Styela clava: one gene and its partners. The protein of the gene in region 1 purifies or fractionates together with the protein of each later gene. This does not show direct contact. Links are inferred from orthologs where the notes say so. Each region holds a gene or a part of one and is shown in the gene's direction. Other genes may lie near its edges.

Region 1 (7,835 bases):
CCCTGCAGAAAGCCAATCACAGAAGTACATCTGGAAAACAAGTACTTAAGAGATTGAAGATTGCAAATTTCCTGCATAAACTCAATCCGATTATGAAAGATGGCTTCATCAAAGTTGGTGGGAGATTGAGAAATGCACCGGTTGATTTTGATGTTAAACATCCGATTATACTCCCACATAAACATCATGTAACTGAGATGATTATAAGAGAACATCATGTATCTACACATCATTCTGGTATGGGGAGTACATGGGCTTCTCTGAGACAACGATTTTGGATTGTTAAAGGAGGCGCTATGGTGAAATCTGTTATCGGAAAATGCATGTTTTGTCGAAGAAGAAGTTCACCTGTGAGTAAACAGATTATGGCAGATCTTCCGAAAGAAAGAGTCACACCAGTTGAAAGACCATTTTCGTATGTTGGAGTGGACTACTTTGGACATTTGCTTGTGAAGCAAGGACGAAATACTGTCAAGAGGTGGGGCTGTATATTTACATGCATGACAACTCGTGCCGTACACTTGGAAGTTGCATACTCGATGGATGCAGATTCATTCATAAATGCGTTAAGAAGATTTATTGCACGTAGAAGTAGACCATTCAAGTTCATCTGTGACAACGGTAGTAACTTCGTTGCAGCAAATAAAATCCTACGTTAGGAGATAGAAATTTGGAATTCAAGCAAAGTTGGACAATTTTTGCGTCAGGAGAATATTAAATTTCAATTCAATCCACCTACTGCTTCTAATTTTGGAGGATGTTACGAAAGATTAATTCGATCAGTTCGAAAGATTTTGGTTGCTCTCTTACACGATCAGTTGGTGTCAGATGAAGCTTTGGCTACTATTTTTTGTGAAGTGGAATCACAGTTGAATTCCAGACCCATCACTCCAATAAGTTTCGATCCGAAAGATGATGAGCCACTCACTCCAAATCACTTGCTGTTACTGAATCCTACAAGTAATTTACCTCCTGGCATATTTGACAAAAAAGGACTGTTACACTCGACGAAGATGGCGACAAATTCAGTATTTAGCTGATCAGTTTTGGATCAGATGGACCAAAGAATACTTACCCACACTTCAGACACGACAGAAATGGACCTCTAAAGAACGTAATATGGAAGTTGGTGATATTGTGCTACTTGTAGACAATACTATACCCAGGGGGAAGTGGCAGACTGGACGTGTTATGGAAACTACACCTGATAAACTTGGAGCTGTGCGTCAAGTTACTGTGAAGACATCCAGGGGTTTATTGAGAAGGCCAATTGCAAAGCTGTGCTTGATTCATAGAGTTAATGAGTAAAATTTTTTCAAGTGTGTGATATCCTCGATGTAAGAAATTTGTGAGTAAGATGTTTTCACTGGGTTCCAACATCTGGCTGGGGGAATGTTACATCGAGAATCGCATTCACTTGATTTTTGTATTGACTTAAACATTGCGTCCGTTTAACTTGTGTAGTAATTTATTTGTTATTGTTGACGCCGTAATTTCCCTTGATTGACAGTGTGCTTCCACACACTTTGTTACGAAACAATTGAGAGAGTCTTCGTGGCAATTGCTTGCCCAGACATGTCTCGCTTAGACAGGGATAGTGTCGGTAATTTGCTTTAGATAGCGCTTTACTTTTGCAGAGAATGGCGCTCGTTTCGTTGTAATTTGTAAATAAGTTAAACTTGTTCAGCGACCTTGGCTTTCTGTTTTGACTGTAGGACGATTGAATAATGTAGATTATGGCTGCCCACCTAGGCCTAATTTAGGGATATTTTATGAGCATTAAATGGCCTTTTGTGATTGATTTTACAGTTATAGTTTATTTAATTAATTTGTTCGGATTTCATTGACGAATGATTTCATGTTCAACTTATGATAATTTAAGCCTGGAATAGCAGACAAATTCGGTATGTTATAATTTGTTACTCTTTCTGATTTGAAGGCTGCAAGTTATTCAATAGTAATTTGGTTCGACTTAATAAACGATGTTTGATAATTGTGTGCATAAATTTGAGTAGGCTTTCTAAAGGCCGAATTGTGTATGATTATTTATTTATTGCAAGTATTTTGTATTGATTTGTTTTTACGTTTGTATTAAGATTAACCGTGTCAACTGTATACTTCGAGTTGTGTGATTTTCTGGATTGAGGATACAAACTTGGGGCTTGAAAGACCGCGTTATTGAACTGTTAATAAATATCTAGTGTGCAGTCGGTGTCGTCCAGGTCACAAAGAACGGCTGTTACACCATTGGTACAAGGGCAGAAGTATTTTCTACGTCTACTCTGAAAGGCAGACTTTCAACTGTTTGGACCAAATGTCCAACATTTATATCATTCAGTGACTTGCAGCAAATTAACAGCATAAGAGGCAATATGTTAGGTGTTCACAATTACCTTTTGAACCAATAAAAAGGAAAAACAGAACATGGTAAAAGTATCAAACAAATTTTCCAACACGGTGTAAATCCCAATACAAATGCATTCTGGCTGTTGACATCAAGCCTGTCCAATGCCAATATTACTAAGAAATGTATAGCAACATGTTGCCTGTTTGCTGGTGAAGGTTTCAACGGTAAAACACATACCGTAATAATATTGGCACAAAGAGACTAGGAATCCATCTGGTGGATCTACCCATTGAAAATACACTAAATTCGAAATCTAGGGGGCCTGCTGCGGCAGATGTTTTCGGTTGCTGCAGACCAAACCGTGTTGGGGCGCAAAGCCATTATGATTTGAATGAATTTTCCGCGATGGGAAAACGAGATATGTGTGATGTTGGTTTTGACGCAATTTTTGACTTAACTAGATTTTATTTTTTGATTTGATAATTTTTTGTTGATTGAAACGATTTAAGTTCATTATTCTTTTATTCGATATGCGGCGCCCGAGAGCTGCATGATAGCCATTTTTCAGGTGAACCTCTTCCAGTGCCATTTGTTTGTCTCTTATTGTTTCATGTATTTCGAATTCAAGAGCAAATCCTGGGGCCGTGAGCCAGAACTCAGAAGTTTAGGTTGTGCACGATGAGGTTGTGAGTGAATAGGCAATGTTGCTGGTTCCCCAGCTTCAGGTATGGTAATTATCTTGATGAGAGGCTACCGTACGGTACCTTGTACCGGTACCGGTACGGTACCGTCTGACCATACGGGAATAATTTCAAGGTTTATATTAATCCCAAGCGCAATATTCTGATAGTACTATCGGACTGGCATGTTGGTTTATGTCAATATGTCGGCATGTTATATTCCAAACTTAGAACTTATTGCAGTATTGTGACTGCTGGACTGATGTTTGCCCTCTGATTTTGCCTGAACTTGCCTCATACACTGAAACTGATGTTCTTTTAGCAGCTTTATCAGTTTATTGTGGTACTGTGGTAGAGTATTCCAGTACCGGCATTTAGTAGTCTCTAGTCTGTTTCTGCATTGTAGCATCAGCATAAAAATGCCTATTAATGTATTACGAGATTGCTATCATCGTCACAATGCCTTGAATTTAATTTTGAAATGTTGCATGTAAACTGTTTGACATGTTGACGAAATAAAATACTACTACTAGACTACTACGGCTGATGGACAACTCGACTACACGGACAACTCACCAGAGACAACTCGACGACCTAGAGGCCTGGTGAGTTGTCGTCTTTTGGCATTTTCTACGGTGGTGTTTTAGGTCTATAGAAATGCGTTTTTGATATTTTTAGTGCTCAAATGTTGAGAAAAATACATAAATATGCTCTAGAAAGCATTTTTATTTGTATGAGTGGCTTATTTTGATCATGTTGTATGAATACAAATACAGTCTACAGGCGAAATTGGAGGTTAGCGAAGTTAGACTGTTGACTTATAGGACTGTGTTCGTTTAATTTTTTGAACTTTATTGGTATTAAATGTTTTGAATGAGCATCTTTAAATATATTAAAAACTTTTCCAAATGCCAAAAGACTGACAACTCACCAGGCCTCTAGGTCGTCGAGTTGTCTCTGGTGCGTTGTCCGAGTAGTCGAGTTGTTCGCCTCCCACTACTACTACTACTATAGGCCTAAATATTACTGTATTGCCGGTAACATTATTTCTGAAACTATTACAGTATTACTACGTTGTTGCTGTTATTGCAGTATTGTTTAAGACTAACTTATCGGTATAGAATTTATCCCAATTTAACATCCTGGCCTCATGCTGATTTGTATATAAGTACCGTACCTTATAAGTTCATTTCCACTCCATACAGCTATACGGTATGGGTAATCAGCGTACAGGCGTAACAGGCAATAAAATGATTGATAAAAACAAATAAATAAAAACTGATTATGAAATCAGGAGAGCAAAGGCAACCTTAGACAAGGTTTGAAACGTACAGCAGTACAGAATATAAGATGGAATGTTTTACCAAGAAGAAGTGTTATGTGTTCATCACCTGAAATTAATAAGTTACACACACACACAACCATAGAGAAGTTACAGAGTAGGAAAACAGCGCAGACTGCCGCTCATTGTCAGATTCTGCTAAGCGTTAGGAATACGCTCGCAACTGCACTTCTGATTACTCTATGTGGGTTCGAATCCCATGTGGGGAAGGTATGTGCGAGAGGAATGCTGAACTACTCGCCGCTGTAGGGTGGTTCACGTAACCGCTGGACGGTTACCAATTACAGAGTTAACGGCTTCCTCCATCATCAGGTACATAACAAACTAATCCCATACCCGACATGAAATACCTACTAACCGGACGAGAGACCGTGGTTCGCCTTATGGTTAAGCCTCCTTATTGCCTTCCCCCGGGATAAATGTGTAAATCCCATCCTAAATATTACACTATAAGCTACAACCATATATCAGTTCTCAGATAAAATCAAATTAACCTATAGTTGAGTAGTTTGGAGCATTCTGAGATGGCAGGTCGAAATCAAGAAAGATCTGTCCAACGTCGTGTTGGAGGTCGAGGTGATAATGATTTGAGTAAGGTTGAATTCGAAACATCCGAAGAAGTTGATGTCACTCCAACATTCGACTCAATGGGATTACGGGATGATCTTCTGAGAGGAATTTATGCTTATGGTATGTGGGGTAATCATTTGAAACTTGAGTTTTGGGATTTTGAATGAACATTTAAATACAAAGCAATTCTGTTAAGATTGATTGGTATTAATCAAAATGCAGGTTCTTCCAACTCACATTGGTTAATTAAAACTTAACAACATTACTATCTGTATACAAATTTTTGAACACTTGGTGGGAAGGAGTAGGACTTTATACAAGTTCTCCAAAACTTGGATTTTTGGAATCTGGTTCACCTGGTGCAAACAGTGTAATGGTAACATATTAGCCTTGAAATACAACATGAAGTGTAAACTAGTTTTCTTTTATCCCATGCATTTATAGATCTGCCTAAAGATTATATTCATTTGATTATTTATAACAAATTTCTCTTTTTAATTTTTGTGTTCATTCTTACATGGGTTTCTGGAATTTGATTTTGATATAGTTAGCTCCTTCATGATCCCCTGTAGAATCAGCAATGGTTGAGTAGTGATTCGAAAGCTATCTATTATTTTGATTTGTAAAATCTGCTACTCACTAATCAGACGACTTTTTCAGGTTTTGAGAAACCATCAGCCATTCAACAGAGAGCTATCAAGCAAATTATGAAAGGCCGGGATGTGATCGCTCAGTAAGTTTTATTTTGTTGTCTTTTTTGTGTAACAATATTGAATATAGGTTATTACCTATTGCCTATAAATGTTGTACTAAAGTGATGACTTAAACTGAAAATACTGAAATAAAATTTTTAGATCTCAGTCTGGAACTGGTAAAACAGCAACATTTTCAATCTCATGTCTCCAAATGATCGATACTTCAATTAGAGAAACGCAAGCTCTTATTCTTGCTCCAACTAGAGAGCTCGCTCAACAAATACAAAAGGTGAGTGTAAACAAAGTAGAATATGACAACTTTTCATTAGAGATGGGCCAAGATTTCGATCTGGGCTCGGGTTAGAGTCGAATCCACGCATTTTTTGGACTTTGGATTTCGAGTCCACGTCATTTTTACCGAGTCTATAACCAATTCTGTTTATAATAATTTGCACCTATGCTTGTATTTTTACCTCTATAAATCACAGTACATACCCTAACTGGTTAAAATTCGTTGTTAGATCTGCAACAATCTTCCTCGTATGATGTCGCGCCAGTCACCTTCAAACTATCTATCCTTTTTGGTATACATGTGTACATTAAAATATGTGTGAGCGCAATATTTTTGAGTTTTTGATTCGCCTAAAAATGAAACATACTCTGGATCAACCCAAGGGATCCCCAAGTGATTTCATCAATATCTCTTTTAAATCGAGTTTATTACAGGCAATCTTTTCCCTAAAAAGGAATAAATGAAAGCATGTAGAATTTTAGAACTTTTATATGTACTACTAAATTGCAAGCAGATGTACCTCATTGTATTGACGAGTGGCATCTCTCCACCATTTGCGCTTGCGACATAGTAAGTGTACAGCTAGAAGTATCTGGAATTATGGGGAAGCATTGCAGTCAAAAGCTTTTTATTTTTCATATTGACATGACATGTAAGAATTGCTAAATAGCCGCCCAGAATTAACGGATGGTGATGGGCTGGAAATCCGGTTCATAACCAAGGCGCATATTGACCCACGTTCACGTTTGTATTGTGGCCGCTAAAAAAGAGGGAAAATATATTTCTAAAATGATTCAACAGCTATCTGCAGAACTATTAGGCAAAAAATACGAGTTACTGCGTATGTTTGTGAGCGCACGTTGCTGTACCTATACAACCTATAGAAGAAGCCTTAACTGTGTTAATTATATTTTCACTGAGTAGAAAAAAAATTAATCTAGTTTGCTATGACCTTATTGCTATTATTAAATAACGAAAAAGCATCCAAACATTGAATAAGAGATTTTAAAGTAAATTTAATTTTTTTGTTTGTTTGTGTTTGGTCCAAGAGTTAAATAATACCTAATAAAGTCTAAAAATTTAAATAAGCATGTTTGTTATTCAAAAAGATTTCATTTACCATAATCTTATTAATTTAATCGTTCAATGATTTGTTTATAATCAAGACAAGTTTTATTTCTAGGTTATTCTTGCACTCGGCGATTACATGTCCGTTCAATGTCACTCTTGTATTGGTGGAACCAACGTTGGAGAGGACATCAGAAAACTTGATTATGGTCAACACATAGTATCTGGAACACCTGGAAGAGTTTTTGGTTAGAAGTTTATATTAATCTTGAACACGAAGTGAACCTTTGGATTGTTTAGATAAGTTGTTGTTGTTGTTATTGTAGCAGTGATATTGTATAATGAAACTTATTATTGCAATTATTCAGCACAAAACATTTTTTATTTAGACATGATAAGAAGAAGAAATCTTCGTACTCGTGCCATCAAACTTCTAATTCTTGATGAATCAGATGAAATGTTAAACAAAGGATTTAAAGAACAGATTTATGATGTTTACAGATATCTTCCACCAGCCATACAGGTTAATTGTTTACTCGATTGAAAATTTGCTTCCAATAAATAATAGAACATTTCTTGATTGTCGAGTCTTACGCAAGAACTAAGGTGTTGATATTTAGTTATGTATAACATATAAAATATTTCTGTTTTTTCTGATCGATAGACCTAGTTACCCAAATTATTTATCTAGATCAGGTGAGGGGCGACTTTTCTTGCAGAAGTCGCATTCTGAATTTTTTGCATTGCATTGAAAAAGGTACTTAACTCTTCTCTGAATACTGGCATTCCTGGAAATTGTCTGTGATGTCACAGTTACTATGTCCATTTGCTATGCTGGTGA
Region 2 (7,276 bases), on another chromosome or scaffold:
TATCGAATTCGACAAATTTGGGCCGCTCTTGCAACACTTACTCCGCTCTATCGCAGGTCTGTCCCTGATTCTTTTTAACGTTTGAAATTTCCGGACAAAATACGAACGATTGAAATTTTTTAACTGCAAAAAAATTGATTGATATACTTCACAATAATTATCATCGCCACATAACGAGAAAAAGTCGCATGCGGTTCCTGCGGTGTTTTCAGAATGGGTAAAAGTTACATCGCGCGCATAATTGACCGTGTTTTGATTTCAGCGACTACCGTATAATTTCCGAAGAAAACCTGACATAACGCCAAATTTTGTGATTTACACGTTTTTAATCTGTCGTGGGTCTGCTAAAACAAAACTTATGGTCTTATCTTCCGTTTTATGTTAAATTTTAATATTTTATAATGCCGCTTTTCAATCAAGAAATTTGTTTTTCACACTGAACTTACAATTCCGTACGAGAACAAAAAAGTTTTTATCGTCGTCCTTGTGGAACAATACCTGCATATGCCAAGGAACTTTTGTGATTTGGGGAGAATAAACACCGCTGTACTACGCAAATAAATGTTATTCTTTTCTGTTTCGGTCATTTCAATTTTTTGCCGGTCCGCGAGTACTTTTATTTTAATTTTACTGGTCCACCAGGGTAGAAAGGTTGGGAACCACTGACGTAAACCACGGTCTAAAAAACAATCGGCGATTTCAAAATATACAATCGCACACGTTATTAGCAACGGTTTCAGTCTACCAAAAATATCAAAAGGGAAGGAGTTCGACCCCGAATTTATTGATATGTTTGTCAAGTGATAAAGCCCTAATACAGTCATAATATATATAATTTATCTGGGAAATTCAGATTTATTCATGGCTTGTATTAACCCTATTAAAAAAGATTCAACATTCAAATTAAGTAAAGTAATTTTAACTTACTCAGGAATATTAATCGGTAAGTAACACTGTGTTTTTTTTTATTGGTTTTTAAAAATGTTTGTGGGGCTGTGAATAATAGTCAACCTCTACAAAGGCTCTGTAGTTTGAGAATCCCTGGGCCTAAACTGATTAATCTTTTGAGTTTCGATTCAATGAACTAATGAGCAATAATTATATGTAATGGGATTGTTAGTGTCTAGGAAAGAAGAAGAGATTTTTCACCATTAACAAGTAAATATATATACAATATTGAATATAAAATCCGCAATTCGGATCATATCATTTTTGTTGGGATCAGTTTGTAAACAAATGAAGGTCACCGAGGCTTCTCATTCACAACGTTAATTTTTTTTAAGCATTTATGATAGGCTACGGTAAGAGTATACTACCCGAAATTATGAGGCAATTTTAATATAAGAAAAAAATGAGTCGGCAATAATTCAGAGAAGCTTTATGTTGTCAAGGTCATGTGAATGTTATCTTTAGATGTCTGTCAGTAGTTTATTTTTGCACATACTAAGAATACGGAAGTTTACAAACAGTAGGATAAAATATAAATAATGTATTTCAGCGTGAAGGGAGACGATAAACCAGTCATGGTTATCGAGCAGCGTCATCTAAATGGAAAGGGAGAACTGATGGGCACTGTGTTAAGGGCAAGCTCGCCTTGTACTTGTGCGGATTCAGCAATTGTCGGGCCAATGTTTTTTTTTCACGAATCCGTGTCTTGTGGGCTTTGCCCTGATGAATTTCCAACGAAACTGATTGTTTTTAAAAACGTGGCCAATAGATTCTCTTCATGAATCAAACGAAAAGTCTATAAGTATGTCAAAAAAATCAGAATCAGGCTGACGAAACGATTCAATTTATGCTACGTCGTTCTTGTTTGTTTGTGGGTAAACACACAACTGTTCAGGATGTTTGAGTATATTTATGGATATAACATAGACATCATAGATTGCAATACTTAGCAGCATGCAGTACGAGCAAGAGAGAGCGTAAGCAAGCAAAGTCAACGGTGACAAGTATAGCATTAATAATGAGGTCATAAATATCATCTTACAGTTCTCAATTTTGATTACATTACAAGCATGAGAGCGATGCTCAAATAAATAGACACGAAAACCAAAAAGAAGCAGTAGGCCTACTCTACCATGGAGGATAAGAGTTGAGTTAGGATATGCGTAGGTTTCCTTCTATTAAATTCTCTTTTCTGTACTGTACTGAGAGTTATGTTTTTATTTGCACCAAACCGTTTTTCAGTTTACGCTTAAACCTAAAAGTTGTAGGCACTGAAATATATTTAGGCGCACTGTGAAATCTATTTTTGGAAATACGGGACCCCAATAATTTCGAAGATTTTATACGAATCTTCGGTGAAAATAGTTGAGTAGCTTTGGTGTAAAGAAGCCGAGATGTCTGCATGCATATTGAAGTTTTTGGATCGGTAGTTGTTGCCAGATTTAAGTTAATTTTATGAATGACCTTCATTGGCAAATGATCAACATTACAAATTCTCAAATGTAAACTTTTTAAATTCGAACCAATTTTGTTACACAGCAAAGGGCAACGCTACTAGTTTTATGTTTGTTGTTTACTTTTTAGCTTTGTCTATTTACCAAAAAAATTGAAGCTAATCACTCATTATTAGGATTCGCATTCGGGCGCAGGCACCTTTGTATAACTTCTAATTGTTTTTATATTCTTTACCACTTTCGCTCATCAAAATTATTTACAATTTTACAAGTGGGCTTTGCCCGTGAATTTTATTTTCTCGTCTTCATGTACGCTTTTCATTATTGCATACCCGATATAGACTGGTAACCACGCGAGTTACCGGTTCGTCACACTTTCATTCATAATCATAGAGGAGTCCAGCAATCCTCTCGCACATAATAATCCCCTCGGGATTCGAACCTGCAAATGCACGCAAGTTAATCAGAGGTGCGGTAGCGAGCGCTTCAGCTCAACACGACGCGCCACACCGCCGTGGGTAATAATTCCAATAATGGTTATGGGATAACCTATGCGGACTGATAACCGAACGAAGGGCTCTAGTTAGCTGTATTACCAAGCAGTCTATCGACTTTTTATCCTCCCGAAGCAGGGCTCGCCAAGCCTTTTTAATGGTGGACCCCTAATTTTTATTCAAAGTGGGCCTTTTCCCCCGAGTGTTTCTTGGAAATATCCAAGTTAAAATCACTTGCTGTCTTGATAGAACTATTTAATTTTGATGCACTCAATATTATTACCCTGTACAATTTTGGACTAGTCACCTGGGGGTCCATCTGAACCACGTCCGGAATCCCTGTCCTAGGGTCTAGGCTAGGCCGTGGCTCGGCAACCTTTTGTAGCTCGCGGACCAAAATTATGGCCGCATATTTTTTTAGAAAAATAAAAACCGAACGAATGGCCGATAAATCACAATTTTCACACAGACAGAAGTGAAAATTTTAAATTTTAAGCAGCACGCAAAAACCGAGACAACTCATGAACTAAACTTCGTCATTTTACTTTCAGAAAAAAATTTACTATTGACATTTAACGTGACACTTTTTAATGCATCACGCTTGATACGTTTTCGACATCACACTAATTGGGAAACATTTTCAAATCGGACACTGGATGAAACCAAGATTAAAACATTTTATATAAATGGGAATCACTCATCCGAGTTTTCTGCTTGTTGGACACGTAGTGGACATAACGATCGTTTCAAAATTTTGTTGTTATTGTTATTATTTGTCTCCATCAACACGTTTTGAAGAAGTCGCTTTTCTCTTCGAATACTGGACCAATTGCTTTGAAATTTTCATTGGTTCAAGATAAAGGCTATTACTTTTTTTTCGCTATGACGTCATCAAAATTATGTGAGTCTACGTGTCCATATATTTGAGCATAGCTCTCTTGTTTTTTGTTATGTTCATTTTCGAAAATAATTGTTCGCATGCATATGTAGCCTACTTCCAAAAACATCAATGTGAATTTTTTCGCATGGTTAATTTTGTTGTTAATTTTGGATAGAGTTTTCCTCAAAGAAAATACTTTTTTATAAAAATCAACCAGTGATACACCTCTCGAATAGAATATAGATTTATTTCCCCAATGCGTTGCACCTCAAAAAGTCCATTTGAATACTTTTTGCGTGTTAGGTCATATTATAATTTAGTCTACACGTGACTCACAATAAACTCTGTTACCTAAAAAATATAATCGTCAAAGCAGCCGTTTTGTATCTATACTTCAGTGGAGCGTCGCGGGCCGAATTATTTCACTTTCACTTCAAGCCCAAAGCATGCCCGAATAATTACGAAGATCTTGGGTCAAAGGTTAGAGTAGGCCCAACATTTTCTGCTAACTTCACAGAGGTGTAGCTGCAGGGTTGTGAAACTGTAAACGCGTTTTCTCGAATATTTTTAAAATATTGTTCATTCTCACTATTGGAGGAGTAACACTTATTAAAATGGATGTGGATATAACGGAAAAGACTATTTTAAGGCCTGTAGCCAAGGATCCTTACGTAGAACTAACGCCGTACCGCGATCAGCATTTCAAGGGGAGTCGTGACCAACAAGACAAGCTTTTGAACCTGACTACAACGCTTTATGTTGGGAATTTATCATATTATACAACAGAAGAACAGATATATGAACTCTTTGGAAAATGCGGAGATATTAAACGAGTTGTTATGGGTTTAGATAAATATAAGAAAACGCCATGCGGCTTTTGCTTTGTTGAGTAAGTAAAGTTTTTTTGTGGGGTATAGTCAATTACACATCGTTTTCTCAAATTTTCAACAGTCATTTTCTTGGAGCCCTAGGAAACAAGATACGAGCCCTCTGGACTTCTTTCTTTAGGGTTATATAAAGTATATTGTGTATCGAACAAATAAACGGGACATGACCAACCTAAAACATATAATTTACAGGTCTGGTATAGTTTAGTACCACATGCACTTCTAGTTGGCCTGGCTCAACAATTTTTGCACATGTCAATCCTAACCCCCGCCTGACTACGTCACCGAAACATTACGTCATTTCGACGTCAAAGTGGCGTAAGAAGGCCCACCAAAGTATGCGGATGGTCGTCCAAAATGCGCAGACGATCACCCGAAATCGAGGTAGGAGGGAGATAGCCGGCGTTAGCGAGTTCGTTATCAGCGTCGCAGATGCCATTTCGGGCGATCTCAATTATACTTTGGCAAGCTCTATGACATGATGGTGACCTCGTCGTAGTGGATGGCATAGTCAGGTGGGGGTGAGGAATAACATATGCAAAATTCGTTATGCTACGTCCATTGGAAGTACTTGTAGTACTAAACTATACTAGACCCAAATTTCCAGTGCCATTGCAATCATTGATGAGGCTATGCTACAACGAACATGACAGGAAATTAAGTACCGTCTGGATGTGCTTTTTATAACTGATGGTGCCCGTATATAAGTGTATTAAATGTGTCAATAACAATTTTATGAAATACTGATTAACATAAAACAACCCTCATTGCGATATCTCATCATTTTACTATGTAATAATTTTTTTAAATTGTTAAAAAGCTTTATGGACACCCTGTACATTTATTTCAGATACTACGCAAGAGATCACGCTGCTGATGCCATCAGGTATATAAACGGAACGAGGCTTGATGACAGAGTTGTGCGAACAGACTGGGATGCTGGATTCAAAGAAGGAAGGCAATTTGGAAGAGGAAAATCTGGTGGACAGGTATGTTTTTTGCAGTTGTTTTGTATATTACAGAGGAGTAAAGACAGAGATAACCAGCACTTAATAATCCACTTCTCCAAATTCATTCTGAAAAAATGTTTCCCAACATCTTGGGTAATGCTTGCTACTTGCTAGGTAAATTCCTCAAATTAAACTCAAAAGCATGAGTCAAAATGTGGGTCTAAACTTGTGTCAAATAAATTTTCAATTGGTAATTTAAAAAAGTTGATTTAATTTATTTTTGGGTAGGTAATGACATCGAAAATCTATGCTGAAATGTTTTATCTGTGTCCTATCTGTGCAGTTTATTTCCTGATCATTTAATATTGAAGCTTTCAATCACAAATTTAATATCTTTGGAAAATGCACATTTCCAATTGTGCACGACTAGACTTTTTATGATAAAATTACATATTTATGTTTTTGTCTTCAGGTTCGTGATGAATACAGATCAGATTATGACCCAGGAAGGGGAGGATTTGGTGTCAGAGCTCAACTAAAACCAAAGAATCCTAACAAGTTCGGACAGAAAAATCAACAACAAAACTAAATAATCTTTCATGGCTGTCTGTGCCCTCTGTGGCAAGAGAAAAACTCTGCGAAGTTGTCGGATAACTGCTGTTACTCCATGAAATTGTACTTTTTATTTCCACCTATTTGGACAAAAAGCCATTTTTATGTAAGTTGGGTTGCAGCCACTATAGAATTATCTTGAAAACAAGTTATCTTTGTACGACCATATCGTTATCGTACGACCAGGGATGACCATTACCAAATTGTTTATTATTTTGAAATAACTTATTTGAATATGGCATACCGGAGGAATATATTCAAATTTGTCACCTTCAAAATTTGGTCCAAACATTTTAATGTATGGTAATCTTTTCACAACTTCTGAGTTTGAATTGAACTAACCTCATTTTTTGTCTGACAGTCTAATGGTATTTGCCAAAGATGACAAATTTCAACATGGAGCCCTCCTAAATTATTCCTGGAATAAAAGAACCTAGACATCCTTAATTAATAGAAAACTGGCAAGTGCATCTCTACACTAACAAATATTTGCAGCCTGGAGTTTTCATCAAATAACGTTCATGTTGGACATAATAAATATCCTGCTTGGAAGCAGGGTCAGAGTTTAGCATGTTGATAATTGAGTCCGGGCTGTATTTTCAAACGCTCTGGAGTCTGAATTCCCTAACGTCTAAATTTCATTCTCTCAATCGTAATTTTACTTAACCCGATCGGAGTTGTAGTCAAAATTATTTTCAAAAGCAGTTTGGAGTTGATTGTAAATTTGTTCCAGACACAAGCTTGAGTCAAAAAATAGCGTAGTGCTGTAAACTGGGCTTTGATGAAATCTGATATTGGGCAATATTATTCAAATTTATAATTAGCAAATGCCCATGTTCAAGGTTACTCTAATAACCCAACATGACGGAGCCTTAACTCCAGAAAGAACATCATAGCTGGTCGGTCATGACTAGTCACTTGTAACTGATGACATCGCTGTTCCTGCATTGGTTGTTTTCACAAAAATTAATTTTTATTACGACTTTTTCATTTTTATTAGTGTATTTCTCAAATTGGAATTGCGGAACTGAATTGTGCACAAATTCATTTC
Region 3 (7,185 bases), on another chromosome or scaffold:
ACCGTGAGAAGTCGATAATGCAGACGCCAATTCTCCAACATTCGTTGTAGAGAGTTTTCCGACGTCGTCACTACTGGTATTTCTGGAATAATATTAATAGCCTGATAGTTTATAGAAAATTATTTTTTAATTATGAGCAAAATGCCATTTTGTAATTAATAAATATCAAAAATCACTCTCGAACTCAATAACTCTTTCTCGGCCATTGATAAAAAGTTGTGATATCTGCTAATCTATCATGGCCTGTTTAGCTAATTTTGGCGAAACTCTAACCTCGAGGTTGGCAATGCAACATCGGGTATTACAGGTGGTGGGAAAAGAGCATTGTCCTCTTCTGAAAATTTCTCACGGACCTGCTCGTCCCCGGACGTAGATGTTCTGCACAAAAATCATTCATATAAAAAAAAATTATTTTAATTTCTGAAATAATATATTTATATTTTTGCACAGATCGCAATCTAATTGAACTGTTAGGCTGCATTTTATCTAAACTGTATGTATCATAGAAAAACAAGGCTCTCTCTCTGAAAGAGGTCAGTGATTGTTAGGGCCGATTGTTTACCCGATTCCGGTATGATTCTTTCCATTTTCTTGAATCCCGGTATCGTTCTGAGTCTTTTTAGTATTTGGAATCTGTGTACATTAATTATTAAACAACATTCATTCGTGGATTCATGCATTTGGAATTGATGGATGCCAGCAAAACCACGATAGCATCGCACGTTGACTATTTCAGACTGAAACTGATTATTAACAGTCTAACGAATAGTGGTTGAATAAACATATCAGACCTTGGGACTTGAATAGAAAGCTTGAACTCGGAAGCGATATGCACCACGCCATAAAAATTGTTATTTTATTTGTGGTATTACGACCATGTTGATTCATCATAACACTGTCGCTTGAAGAGGGGGTGATGGTTTTCAGAATGCATATCGATGTAGTGATTTGAAAAATTAACTCTGAAGTGTTTCGTAAAATAAACCAGATTCCATATATCGCAGAGCGTTATTCTAACCAATAAAAGACGATATATATACCATAATACCTTGTCGGCCCTGTGAGCATCCTCGTCCACGATGTCCACGGTCGACAATTTACGGCATTGAGAGAATGTCTGATAGAAGTATTTAACATGAATGAATTGAACTGAGAGTACTTTGTCATATATAGGTATTGTAATACGAAATCAAGGATTCACCCACAAGCATATACATGAACACATCATAGGCCTATACATACATTCCAATTATATGTATTCTATTACTTACAAATTCATCGTGACCACGGTTCTGTTGGTAAAAGTGACTGATATAAAGTATCATGTTGCATGCTTTTACATCAGAAAAATATCCGATAGTATTTGGATTATACAATCATTTATATATATATAAATCATACATATATATATATATATATATATATATACTTTTGATTACATATCTTCCGGACTCACCAAGACTTTGTTAGCCTTCACCATTCCTCTGCCGAACCATGAAGCAAATGCATATATACAATGCACCGCAGTCAAATAAGATGAAGCTTCATCTTGTTTCTAAGAAATTAATTTAACAAAATTGAATAATGTGTTGCGAGAACGTTAATATTCAAGAATGCTTTCTTGATATCATTGAATATGTAAAACGGGCCTGGGAACTAGATTTAAAACTCCGAATTTTAAACTTCGTGGGGCCGTTAAGTTTCCCGTCATTGGGTGGAGTAGTGACATCAAACCAGAAGTCGAGAGTCGTAATTTCTCCCGGAAACGACACAATTATCATAGCCTACTCTTAACTTCTGTTATTACCTAGTCAAAATATGTATTACCAGTCGAGTTAGTAGTCGCTCCTATTCGGGATGGGATTTACTAGAAGCCCAAATAGAAGCAGTGATTCTGTCCTACTCCAAGTACGCGTATTTGATACATACTTCTCGATTGAGACTCATAGTAGCACATAAAAGAATGAAAATGCGATTGGGATGGACGATATCCCTTGCGTAACGACTGCAAAATTTCAGTGTTTGAAATTTCAGTGAAACTGTTCACCCTCTACAGGAGGTATAGGAAAATCGCTGGTATGGCCATGGAGAACAACGGCCAATTAAAAAATTGTGGAATATCAGATTGATCTTTTAATTGACGAATATTCACGGAGGCATTAGAGCCTAATTCTTTTATGCGTTTTATACGCATTCTACTCTGAAAAAGGATTATAGTACTGATAAAACCTTTACTTCAGCGATTTTCCGGATAGAAGATATATATAAATATTATGAAAGTGATGTTGACACAGTCAAGTGATCTGTTCACTGAAGTTGTTCAAACTCTGGGTTCTTACGCTTCTTTTCAGCTTCTACACTTTGCTTCATCATGCCGAGCCACCAGCGTTCGCGTTCGGCTCACATATAACTTACTGGTTTGTTAGTGTTCGATAAGTTTGAAGACATTCTGATGTTCACGAAAATTTTATGTTTATTTCGATGTTAATATCATTGGATTTTCATTACCGCCATTGCTGATGAACGAGCGTGTTTAAGGCTCAGTCCACACTCAAAGAGCAAAATCTGCACACGCGAGGAAGAGAAAGCAGCGGATTTCTAATCCGTCGTGATGGGTTCAAACTTTGAAAAGTTTTGAGAATTTTTGAAAGATCATGGAGAGCAAAAATTGTAAGAATCTGTAGCCATTTCTTTTTGTTGAATTTCACAAATTTTGTATAGTAAATAATATTTTTATTGGGAAAACTCAACTAAGACATGGTAAGCAATTCATTTGATTGTTATATAGGCCGCCTTGATTCTGTTTTAAAGTTGAAATATAAATTTGCTTGCTAATCCGTCCAATGAGCATATATACAATGAGTGGAAACTTGCAAAGATTTGCTCATTATGGCATTGTTCCCTGCATTTTTACGTCGTCCAGCTAAATGGTTCGTTGCATATTAAGAAAACGCGTTGCTCGCTGCCAAAATTCCTTGCTTCAGCCGAGTCGGGTGCGAATTTGGCCGTATTACCTTGACTTGAGGTCTTTAATTCTTCAATACATATTTGATTTTGGGTTTCGAAGTATGGTACGCTGAAAGCATACAACTATGAGCCTATGCTTACTGGAGAGAGGGATTTTGGCAGCGAGCAATGAGTTTTCTCCATATGCAACGAACCATTTAGCTGGACGACGTAAAACATGCAGGGAACAATGCCATAATGAGCAAATCTTTGCAAGTTTCCACTCATTGTATATATGCTCATTGATCCGTCCTAACACATAGCCATATCAGACAGTGGCGTATCTAGGGTATCTTTATTACTATCTTTATCAGTGTTTCCCGGTCTGATTTGACTCGTGAGCATTTGATAAATATTCAGACTACTGCTCGCTATCTTGGAAAGATCTCTCGTGATTGGTGTAGGTGTGCCAACCCACCCCTATTGGTGTTGCACTCGAACTCTGCTTCACAAATGCGGCATATGTACACTTGGCATTACTTTGAGCCAGAATATAATTTCAAGTTCATCACTTCTTACCAACTTATTTGACTACATTCATTTAGTTAGATCGAAAAATAAGTTAACTTACTTCAGCGGAAGATTTTCTAAATCTTCGCCCTCGCCTCTTTCTCCCGCATGACACCCTGTGTCCTTCGTCGTTGTCTTGGGTAACGATACCCACTTTGTTTCGTTTTAGTGGCATATTAAGCAAGCATGCTGCCAAAAATACCGAATAAAATGTCGACTTAAGCAAAAAGTTACAATTACCCCAAAATCGTATACTTATTACGTCACAATAGGACACGGGATGTTTATGCCAATCAGCAGTGACATATTTATCAATCATATCCTGAATGTCAAAAGGCTTTATAAGGTTTAGGTTTGAGTTGAGTGAAAAACTTCAGGTAACACACTCCATTGGTATGCGAAAACAATGAAATATTGTCTTTCTCGGGGAAAAGACAGGCTTTTCAGATTTTAAGTTCAATTCATCTCTTCTATATTGTTGTAAAAGGGCATTCCTTTTATAATGTGGTCATCTGCTGTTTTGATGTAATTTAACTTATTTAGCTTTTTGTTTGATAATATTGAATCAATTATTTTTTCCTCTTGCCATGAAATTAGCCTAAATTCGTGCAAAGATGATTGAACTTTCTGCTTCGCCGCACACAAAGGTCGCATTGCTACAAGCTTGTAGCTTTACCACTTTACGAAGCACAGAAGCAAGTATTCGGCGCGAGCACGTTTTGCATATTTGTTTGTAAACACTTTGATAGCATAATGGCACCAAGTCCAGCTCGAGGGCGTGAAAAAGCAACGAATGACACTACCGACGGAGGACGAAAAAAGGCTAGATCATCTTCCAGGTTAGTGCGGTAGACTATTATCAGACTACGGTACGGTACCGGTACCGGTATGTTACAAAAAATCTGCATCCAGTCTGCAAGATTTGGGGTCTGGTATAGTTTGGTACCACATGCACTTCTAGTTGGCCTGGCTCAACAATTTTTGCATATGCCAATCCTAAACCCCACCTGACTACGTCACCGAAAAATTACGTCATTTTGACGTCACATTGGCGTAATAAGGCCCACCAAAGTACAGTATGCGGATGGTCGTCCAAAACGCGCAGATGATGACCCGAAATCGAGTAAGCTATTTCTTTCGTTTTCACGTCATAACGATCACGATGTATGTATGTACTGGTATGTTTATTAGTCTCGCCGGCGTAAGCGAGTTCGTTATCGGCGGCGCAGATGCCATTTCAGGCGATCGTAATTCTACTATAGCCCTATGACGTGTTTGTGACGTCGTATCGACATATTTTTTGAATGGCATAGTAAGGTGAGGGTTAGGATTAACATATGCAAAATTCGTTTTGATACACCAACTGGAAGTACTTGTGGTACTAAACTATACTAGACCCAAGATTTGAATAAAAGTCAAAATAGGGAAATGATATCAAGTTTGTGAAAAATGTCCAAGAAATAATTGAGATTCCATACACAGTATATACCTATACGGTACGTTACCATTATCCAATTTGGCAATCCTCGTAAAACTATTAATATGGGGTGGCAAAACTTTATTTTATTTGTTTCTATATTTTCACTTTTTCAAGTACCGGTAATTGATTTTATGTTTCGGCTTTTTTTTACTTCTGATCTCATCATGTCTCCGTGATTGTGTGTTTGTCTGGTTTGTGTGTGTGCATGCTCTAATTACAGAATTAGTTTCAATACTTTTGGGTGAGCGAACACGTAGTACTTCTTTTAACAAGACCTTTCCATCTGTACGTTTCAAACATTATTTCTGTACTTTAGGTTTTGTTTGCTCTCCCGATTCTATAATCAGTTTTATTTATTTTGTTTTTGTAGCGTACCGGCAATGTATGAAATAATTATCCAGGTTCAGAATATCTTCTAATATGATCTGACGTCAAGTTTTCTCTCAATAGTCCAAGTCTTTATGCTATTTTATGTCATTTATTAACAACTCGAACAGTAAACGATCCAAAACAACCAAACACTCCCAAAGGAACGAAAAGCATAAAATAAAAATAACAGATACCGGTACCAGGCAGTAAAATGCAAGAAAGACCACATACACAACAAAAGCACTGACAAAACCTGAAATCCAAGACAACTCTGAATAAAAACCAAATGACCCCTAGAATCTGGTACAATAAACTAGCTACTGCAATTTGCAAAACAGGCCGAAAGTAACTTATGACAGGCATTTAAAAAGACTATGAACAATTCTATAGGTGCACAACATTTGAACAATACTGATGAAAGCTAATTCCACGATAAAACTGAAAATACAACACTACGGTAAATGAACTGTAATGGCACTGTACTGGTAAAAACAATAACATGGTCCCTACGTCAGCCCACTGTCCAGCACAAAACATCCGACAGTCACACAACACAGACAAACATCCCTGAAGACCAGAGGCATTCACACAGACATTCAAAACCCACCAATCTAACCGAAACACTCAGACGACCGCACTCTGTATGTGATCCAATTTGTATTGCCAATTACCTTAACAATTATTTCACCACCATAGGCCCGAAACTGTCTGAAAATATTCCCCATTCTAATGATTCTTTTTTGAATAATCTCAAGAATCCAGTGAAAGATTCCTTGTTTCTTAGACCAACGACAATCAATGAAGTATTTACCACCATAGCAAGTCTTCCTGATGGCAAAGCAGTGGGGTATGACAATATACCTGCCAAATTTTTAAAATACGCCGCTGATATAGTGTCTCCCATGCTGTGTAAGTTGTTTAATGCCTCCCTAGACCATGGTATTTTTCCCAATTGTTTGAAAATTGCTAAAGTCACACCAGTGTTCAAAGCTGGAGACAAAGAATGTGCAACCAACTATCGCCCCATTTCAGTTCTTTCGACTATGACCATAACATTCGAATTCGAAAAACTTTTGCATACCAGACTAACACAATTTATAGATCGAAATAGCATTATTAATAAGTCACAGTTTGGTTTCCAAAAGAAGCACTCTACTAATCATGCAATACTAGATGTGGTAACTTACTTTTATGATAAATTAGAGAAAAGGGAATATATCAGTGCAATATTTCTCGACCTAAAAAAGGCATTCGACACTGTCGACCATCACATATTAGTTAGAAAGCTGAGCCACTATGGCATTCGCGGTCATGCATCAAAATTCTTCCAGAGCTATTTATATTCACGTCAACAATATGTCAAAATAGGATCAAATTGCTCCGAACTTGCAACTGTACAATGCGGAATTCCCCAGGGCACAATAATTGGCCCATTAATGTTCGTATTATTCGTCAACGATCTTCCTCATGCCACCAGATTATTGGTCAAACTCTTCGCTGACGATACCGGGTTATTTGGAAGTTCAGTCTCGCCAAATGACTTGCAAATACACATGAACTCTGAAATGCAAAAAATTGCAACGTGGATGACTAGTAACAAACTAACTATAAATATTGAAAAATCCAAATCACTTCTAATTAATCCCCAAAAAAATGAAAGAAGTGTGCATTTGATTAAAATTACTATTAATGGTATATTACTTGAGAATGTGAACTCATACAAATACTTGGGTATACACATTAATAACCAGTTAAAATGGGCAGCTCATATTAACTACATTGCTGGCAAGCTTGCTAGAACAGCAGGTATATTATTCAAA
Region 4 (7,113 bases), on another chromosome or scaffold:
ACCCTAACCCCAAATCCATCAAAACTGCATTCATAGGATAGGATAGGATTTACATATTTATCCCGGGGGAGAGGAAAGCCGATAAGACGGCTTATCCATATGGCGAACCACGGCCTCTCGTCCGGTTACCATTCCAAGTCGGGTGTGGGATTAGTTATATATTGTTTGTTTTCGGAAGCATGGACTTGGTGGTAGAGGAAGCCGTGACCGACCAGCGGTTACGTGAACCACCCAACGACGGCGAGGAGTCCAGCAATCCTCTCGCACATAACCATTCCTGCATGGGATTCGAACCTGCGAACCCACGCAGAGTAATTAGAGGTGCGGTGGCGAGCGTATTCCTAACGCTTAGCCCGTTGAGCCACACCGCCGCGCCGGTTCATAAGAAAAACGTTCCAACCTACCCAATATTTGCCACCATAAGGGACAGCCCTGTCTTTACGGCCCACCTGCCGCGGTTACGGCAGCAAAATTTCACCTGCCATTGGTTTTCAATTTGCTGCCGCGGTAACGGAAGCTCGTCATTGGTTTGTGGCAGCTAAAAAGTCAGTCGCCAATCGCCATCATTGAGGTTTATAGGTTTGGTCGTAGCGGCCATGGTATGGAAATACCGCTATGATTTTGCGGCAGCTGCAGACGCCACAGAATACTTAAAATTGCACTTGCCGAAATGGCATCTCCCCGACGATGGCGAACTCGATAACTCCAGAGATCTCTCTCATATCGGGATCGTTGCGGGAAAAGGAGAGAAACAGCTTGCTTTATTTCGGGTGATCCCATTTCCAGAGAGCCTCTGTTTGTTTTAGCTTCGTCCAAATTGACTATAACACTTTTTAGTCACTTTGGCTTCGTCAGTCTGCTAATCAGGTTTTGTTCGTCAATTTGTTTGGAGTTTGTTACCGTTTTATATTTTATCAAGGTAAGTTTAGCATTTTTCTTTTGCTATTCGCCTAGTGGAACAATACTGGTATCATGCGGTTTCATGAAAGTTGCGATCCGTTTGAGTTATGCAACTTTGAAACCTCATATCTCCCGAACCTTATATTATATTGAGACAATCTAGATTCTAGGAGTAGGAGACTAATTATAATCATAAAATGGAGATAAAATGTCGCAATTAACGTACAGAAATCGGAAAATTGAAAAGCGTGAATTTCCTTTTTTCGAAAAGTCTTTGAATTAAATAACAAAAACTTCGATTCGTCCTTGTTTCAAACGGTATCATTAGATTGAATTTATCCTGCATCAGTAAAATTTTATTCAATGTTCTCATAATCTTCACATGTCCGCTGCGCGAACTTCGAACCTATTTGTGCGTCTTTGCAGCACATTGGATCTTCTGAACTAATTATTACAGTATTACTAGACTGTATTAGCGGCGAGCACCTACCGGTAATCCGGTTAAGTCGTACCCTTGCAAATTGAATTTTTTTTTTTGAAAAGTCTTTGAATTAGATAACAAAAACTTCGATTCGTCCTTGTTTCAACTTGGACCTTGTTTCGGATGGTATCATTAAATTGAATTTATCCTGCATATTTCAAACGGGACATAACCCTAAACCTGGACACCATTATATTATAAGGATTTTTCCCAATATCAGTGGATTCCCGAAGTGCGAAATAAAACCTAGTTTTCTTCAATCTAGTCTAGTGCCATATTTATGTACATCTTTTAGATGAGTAAAATAGTTCCCAATAGCAAGGGGAGGAAACCATTTTCATGGCGATGCATAAATTTTGCTATTTCCAGAGTATGCATTTCTGAGAGCTGTAGAATTGTATGCTGACAGTAAATTTGAAGGTTGGTCGCGCGACTATTCTCAGCAAATGATATACACCTTAGTAGTTTGTAGAACTTAGACTGACTGTAATGAAGGGTTAGATGCTGATCACCCAACTAAGAATTCCATATTGCGAGCGGCACGTAGCTAAAAAAAATATTTAATAGAAATGATGGTTTGAACATGTAAAATAGTTTGTAGAGGCCAACTCGCTAAAACACTCCAAAATAAGTATAATTTTGCAATAACGAAGATCCATTTATGGATGGTGTAGGACAGGGTTTTCCCAAAATAGGGTCCGCGGACCACTGGAGGTCATCGACGACTACACAGAGGTCCGCCGCAGTATCAAGTGTCTGAAATATAGGGCGACAGCTGATGCTGATGACCATGTATGGTCATATCGCCCAGTCTATATCGAACAACTTTGTTAATACTGTACTGTACATCAGGGGTGTGCAACCTGCGACCCGCGGGCCAAATGCGGCCCTCAGGGAAATATTGTGCGGATCACGAAATGAATTTTGAATAGACACAAGACGAGTCCACAATCAGTCGGATTCGGCGAATCCGAGTAAAAAAGTAATGGACTCGAGACGAATCTTTTGAGCTCGTTGATTCATAATCAAAATGTGAAAAATACGTTTTTGACTTTATTGAAACAATGCGCGCGTGTACGTCAGCCTTTTTTCACATCATCTTGTCAAATTGAGTCATAGGTAGCTGTAGAACTATTTTAGGAGTATATTTCACTCATTTTTGGCCACAATATAACATTTTAAGCGTCTATTTAATTAACACAGCTGGATTATAATGTCGCGTTTCGTGACCATCTGGAACCAAAAAAGCCGAAATTCGTCAATGCCAATATGAACTAAAATAGCTCCCCGTCCCCGTAAATTTTGCCGTAGGCCGTACAATATGGAGATATAGAAGAAGTTATATTACTGAGTTGCATTTAATTATTTCTCACGTTCAGACACATTCTCACCACGTTTCAATTTTTGTCCCTGATCCACAGTGTTAATTTTTGTTTTCACATATATTTTGAAAGTTTCGATATAAAGTGCTAATTATTATCGTCAAAAACTCATTGAAATTAGTTGAGTAACTTAGTTGTCAACTAATTAAGTCTCATTTTTGGAGACATCGCATCAATTTCCATCACATTATTCTAACCGCTTTAGGTTATATTTTATTTAACGAATGCCGCCCCTCTTTGAAAACAGATATGTATAACATTGAAGTTACTTAAGAATCCTCTATGTTTGTTTTGGAAACTTGTAAAAATATTATTAAGTTTTGCCACTAGTCATCTTCCAGTGTGAATCTTAATCACATCAGTGCATATGGTGGGAGCTGACGATATGGTCGTATCGCTCCCTCCTGTCCATGCCGAAGCAATTTTATTGCTGTTGCTATTTTATTGATGACTGCATTTTTTGGCTGATGAAACAAAAAATCTTTATCTCTCCCAAGTATCGCTTGAGCAGAAGGTAGAGATTTGCCACTTGATTAGATCATACAATGTCATAAAATTTCAGGTACAAATACTACGGGAGTCACTTGGCTAGTCCCGAACTCGTAATATAACTAAAATAAGGAAAATCGGAATAAAATTATGGACTAACCCTAACCTGGTGCTATACTATCCGCCACATCTTGGTTCACATACTTTTGAAGTACCCAATTTTGAACAATTAAAAAGCCTTAATTTTTAAAAAGATAAAAAAAAATAACGATATATGGTTATACATATTGATCTGCTCAACAACGAATCTAATAATTATTATATTTTATTTTTATATCTCTTTTATCATTAACTTTTTTATCACCCATTTCAAAAATTTTGATGATGTCATAATATATTTTATATATCTTTGAAAGCCCGAATATGACTTCATAATGCATCCAACGGTGTTTTATGACGTCATTGTTAAAATTGGGCCTTACAACTGGTATAGCCTTAGAATCCGGCCACCACAGTTCATAGCCATGGGCGTTCTATGAGCCAATCCTTGTTTTCGGAACAATGACTTTACAGCAACAAACCACTTTACAGTAAAAGGTTTACGGCGACCTAATAAATAATATTTAACCAGTCGCTCATATCAAACATGTTATGCAATAACTCTTTTTACGTTCTATTCTCACTCAAGCATATTTTTAACGTCCTAAATATTGACTTGTTTTAGTGTATTTTTGGATTTTTTGCTGGTGTTTTTCTTCTCCCAAAATTCAAATAGGATATTTCATATTTTTCCCCGAGACAAAAGAACCACGAAATGATTTAATATGAAATGACAAATTCGTAAATTATTTGCATGTATGTGTGATTCGATTGCATTTTGAAATACGCCACTCGCCGTGTGCTTGATATGTGGATGGCGAGCAAATTAATCTCCTCATTTTGCTGTATTCATCCGCATATATTTCACTTGCCAGATTTTCTTATGGTATACAACAACAAGTGTGACGATGCTTGACCAAATATTATATTTGATAGTGCCAAAATAGGTAAAAAATACATACATAAGGCACAATCTGTATTAGTTTATTTTTATCCAAACAAAAACGGAATTGCGTTCAAATACGCTGACCAGCAACCGAAAAGTACCACGTTGTAAACTGACAACAGCACACGAAAGGCGGAAATGACGTTTGCCCTGCGGCCATTAAGAAGAACACAAGTTTCTTTCTTTGTGAGGCAGTGGTGCGAAATCACTTTGAGTTTCTGCATCGTCTTCTTGTTCACCTATGTTGTCTTTAAAGTATATCTCCTTTTTTGTAACAAATAATTGGTCTGCAGGTTTATACTTGGAATAAAATTGATTAAACATAAAGAAAATATGAGCCGAGATAGCAGAGTGTATGTAGGAAATCTTCCTCCTGATGTCAGAGAAAAGGATGTTGAAGACCTTTTTCACAAATATGGAGATATAAAATTTGTTGAATTGAAAAACAGGAAAGGGCCACCATTTGCATTTGTCGAATTTAATGATTCCAGGTACGGTACCATATGGCTGTATGTATAGTCTACTACCGTACCAGAATACTGATTTATGAACTTTTTTTTATTATTTTAACTATGCTTTCATACTGCAGTACTGTATTATAATCATGCTGTATTAGCTTTTTGAAGTATTTAATTTTGCAAAATCGGTCAGTTTTACTACTTTGCTAGTATAGTAGTATGCATACAATCAAGTCGATAATATTTCATGAATTTATTTACCAGGGATGCAGAAGATGCAATCAGAGGGAGGAACGGATATGATTATGATGGTTATCGACTTAGAGTTGAATACCCTAGAGGCAGTGGGCCGCCAATGCGTGGTGGCGGTCACTTTATGGGTGGTGGTGGCGGCGGTGGTGGAAGATATGAACCTGGTAGAGGCAGAGGAGGACCTCCATCCAAAAGGACAAACCACAGAGTTATGATCTCAGGTATATATTCGTTGCTTTGTACCTTTTATCACATAAACAAGAAGTTTTTCATTTGTAGAGAATCCAGTCTTATTCAGGTTTATGTTTATATTCAGGTTTGCCGCCTACTGGAAGTTGGCAAGACATAAAAGATCATATGAGAGAAGCTGGTGATGTTTGTTATGCAGATGTATTCAGGGATGGAACTGGAATTGTTGAATTTGTCAACAGAGAAGATGTGAAGTTTGCTGTCAAACATTTGGATGATACCAAATTCAAGTCTCACGAAGTAATTAGATCACAAATATATTTATTAAAGTCTCTCAAGCATATTTTACTAATGGTGTTTTTGTTTTTAGGGAGAAGTTGCATACATCAGGGTCAAAGTTGACTCTTCAGCTGGTGGTGGTGGTGGTTCTAGATCACGCTCAAGATCCCGATCTCGGTCCAACAGTCGAGGTCGTAGAAGCTTTGGAGCTCGTGGGGGTGGTGGTGGAGGAGGACGGTCTTCCCCTTCTTACAGCCCTCGCCGTCGATCTTATTCTCGCTCACCAAAACGACGTCGTTCTGCGTCTTACTCTCCTCGTCGTTCTCGATCAAGATCTCGATGATTTTAAATCAAGTTTTTATTTTTGTATATCAGTACAAACTGCCCAGTTAAAGTTTGATAGCATGTAAAAACATGCTGCGCATTTTATGAAAATGCAAAGCAAATTGTGTATACAAAATAATTCTCGTACCAAGCTGAATAACATTTTTTTGTTAATTTGTCTAGAACTTGGATCATCCATTACTGGAGATCATCTTGTCTAAAGAATATAGGATATCGTGAAATGGAATCACATGTCTTCAATTGGACTAGGATACTGAAATCCCTGGATTTTGGAATTTGAATATGATTGTAGCATTGGGAGGCCCGGAAGGAATTTATTTTATTTGATGTTTGTGGTTCCCTATCCAATCATTCTTATTAATTCTATTTTTGTTTGAAATTGACAGATCTTTGGATCCTTTTTGCGAATGGGGATTTGCCGCTAGTTGGATAGGATACCATTTCTTTGGATGGATTAGGATCCACGTTTGAAATTATGGAATCTGGAGAAAAAGGATTCTTTAAACTGTGCGCATAGGATTTGGATTTCTTAACGTATTAGGAATGAAAACATTTTTCGAAATTTAAGTATTGAAGGCTTCGTTTTGGAAATAGCATCATTGTTTCGGAATTTGGAGCTTCTGTGGAAAATGCTGGAATTTATTATCAGGAGTAGGTATTTGGTCGCTTTGAAACTAGTGCTAATCCCTAAGCGGTAATTTTAAAGTTATGGATTTAAAAAGTAGTGTTTTTATTTGTGAGATTTCTAATAAACCAACTGAGGCTGCAGTTTGAGACTTTTGAATTAGGATTGTTGCTGTGTACCTGGAACAATTGAGCCATGTCTTGAGTCTTAAATCTTGCTATCTTATCTTGAAATGTGGTAGTCTTCCTCTATTTGAACCTTTCTGGCATTTATGTGGAAATCACGATGAGCGCGCTGAGTACTGGGATACAGTCAGTGTTTGTAATATGTTTTTGTATGCGATTTATCGTTCAATCTCGCTCCAAGCAGATTTGTGGTAAGTATACTGAACTGAGTTGTATTTTATGTATAAAACCGGACAAGAAGAGTAGGATTGCAAAGCAGTTGTGGAAATTACTAGAGTTTCCTAACGTACAATCCCTTGGAAAAGTTGAAATTGACTTTTGTTTCTCAAAATTGCCATTACACAATCATAGAAAAAGTGGCTTGTGGTTTTTTTCAGCATAAAATTTCCAAATTCACCTAAGCAAGTTCGAATTTATACAATCTATGGTTTAGTCATAGAAGATCGCAACATAGGTGCAAAAGTCTGATTTGCGCAGTTGTTT

What was found.
Region 2: the proteins of eukaryotic initiation factor 4A-III (region 1) and nuclear cap-binding protein subunit 2-like purify together in Homo sapiens (co-immunoprecipitation; 3 studies listed by BioGRID and IntAct, with this or other methods). This does not show direct contact. The link is inferred for Styela clava from reciprocal best matches to the Homo sapiens genes EIF4A3 and NCBP2.
Region 3: the proteins of eukaryotic initiation factor 4A-III (region 1) and uncharacterized protein LOC120331224 fractionate together in Homo sapiens (co-fractionation; 3 studies listed by BioGRID and IntAct, with this or other methods). This does not show direct contact. The link is inferred for Styela clava from reciprocal best matches to the Homo sapiens genes EIF4A3 and RNPS1.
Region 4: the proteins of eukaryotic initiation factor 4A-III (region 1) and serine/arginine-rich splicing factor 1B-like fractionate together in Homo sapiens (co-fractionation; 4 studies listed by BioGRID and IntAct, with this or other methods). This does not show direct contact. The link is inferred for Styela clava from reciprocal best matches to the Homo sapiens genes EIF4A3 and SRSF1.

Annotation. Positions count from the first base shown.
Region 1 is NC_135260.1:7,932,633-7,940,467, forward strand, and holds the start of eukaryotic initiation factor 4A-III, read left to right. Parts: upstream 1-4,818; 5' UTR 4,819-4,893; coding exon 4,894-5,059; intron 5,060-5,599; coding exon 5,600-5,672; intron 5,673-5,793; coding exon 5,794-5,923; intron 5,924-7,109; coding exon 7,110-7,242; intron 7,243-7,383; coding exon 7,384-7,517; intron 7,518-7,835. Other genes in the region: uncharacterized protein LOC120347980, read left to right, coding at 1-659. UniProt on the Homo sapiens protein: ATP-dependent RNA helicase. Involved in pre-mRNA splicing as component of the spliceosome. Core component of the splicing-dependent multiprotein exon junction complex (EJC) deposited at splice junctions on mRNAs.
Region 2 is NC_135252.1:23,083,289-23,090,564, reverse strand, and holds the start of nuclear cap-binding protein subunit 2-like, read left to right. Parts: upstream 1-4,260; 5' UTR 4,261-4,390; coding exon 4,391-4,665; intron 4,666-5,513; coding exon 5,514-5,652; intron 5,653-6,085; coding exon 6,086-6,202; 3' UTR 6,203-7,276. UniProt on the Homo sapiens protein: Component of the cap-binding complex (CBC), which binds co-transcriptionally to the 5' cap of pre-mRNAs and is involved in various processes such as pre-mRNA splicing, translation regulation, nonsense-mediated mRNA decay, RNA-mediated gene silencing (RNAi) by microRNAs (miRNAs) and mRNA export.
Region 3 is NC_135255.1:4,593,733-4,600,917, reverse strand, and holds the start of uncharacterized protein LOC120331224, read left to right. Parts: upstream 1-4,184; 5' UTR 4,185-4,269; coding exon 4,270-4,355; intron 4,356-7,185. Other genes in the region: uncharacterized protein LOC120331194, read right to left, coding at 1-82, 274-378, 563-633, 1,049-1,117, 1,457-1,555, 3,578-3,691. UniProt on the Homo sapiens protein: Part of pre- and post-splicing multiprotein mRNP complexes. Auxiliary component of the splicing-dependent multiprotein exon junction complex (EJC) deposited at splice junction on mRNAs.
Region 4 is NC_135257.1:13,133,140-13,140,252, forward strand, and holds serine/arginine-rich splicing factor 1B-like, read left to right. Parts: upstream 1-4,487; 5' UTR 4,488-4,630; coding exon 4,631-4,788; intron 4,789-5,019; coding exon 5,020-5,228; intron 5,229-5,323; coding exon 5,324-5,496; intron 5,497-5,566; coding exon 5,567-5,818; 3' UTR 5,819-6,588; downstream 6,589-7,113. UniProt on the Homo sapiens protein: Plays a role in preventing exon skipping, ensuring the accuracy of splicing and regulating alternative splicing.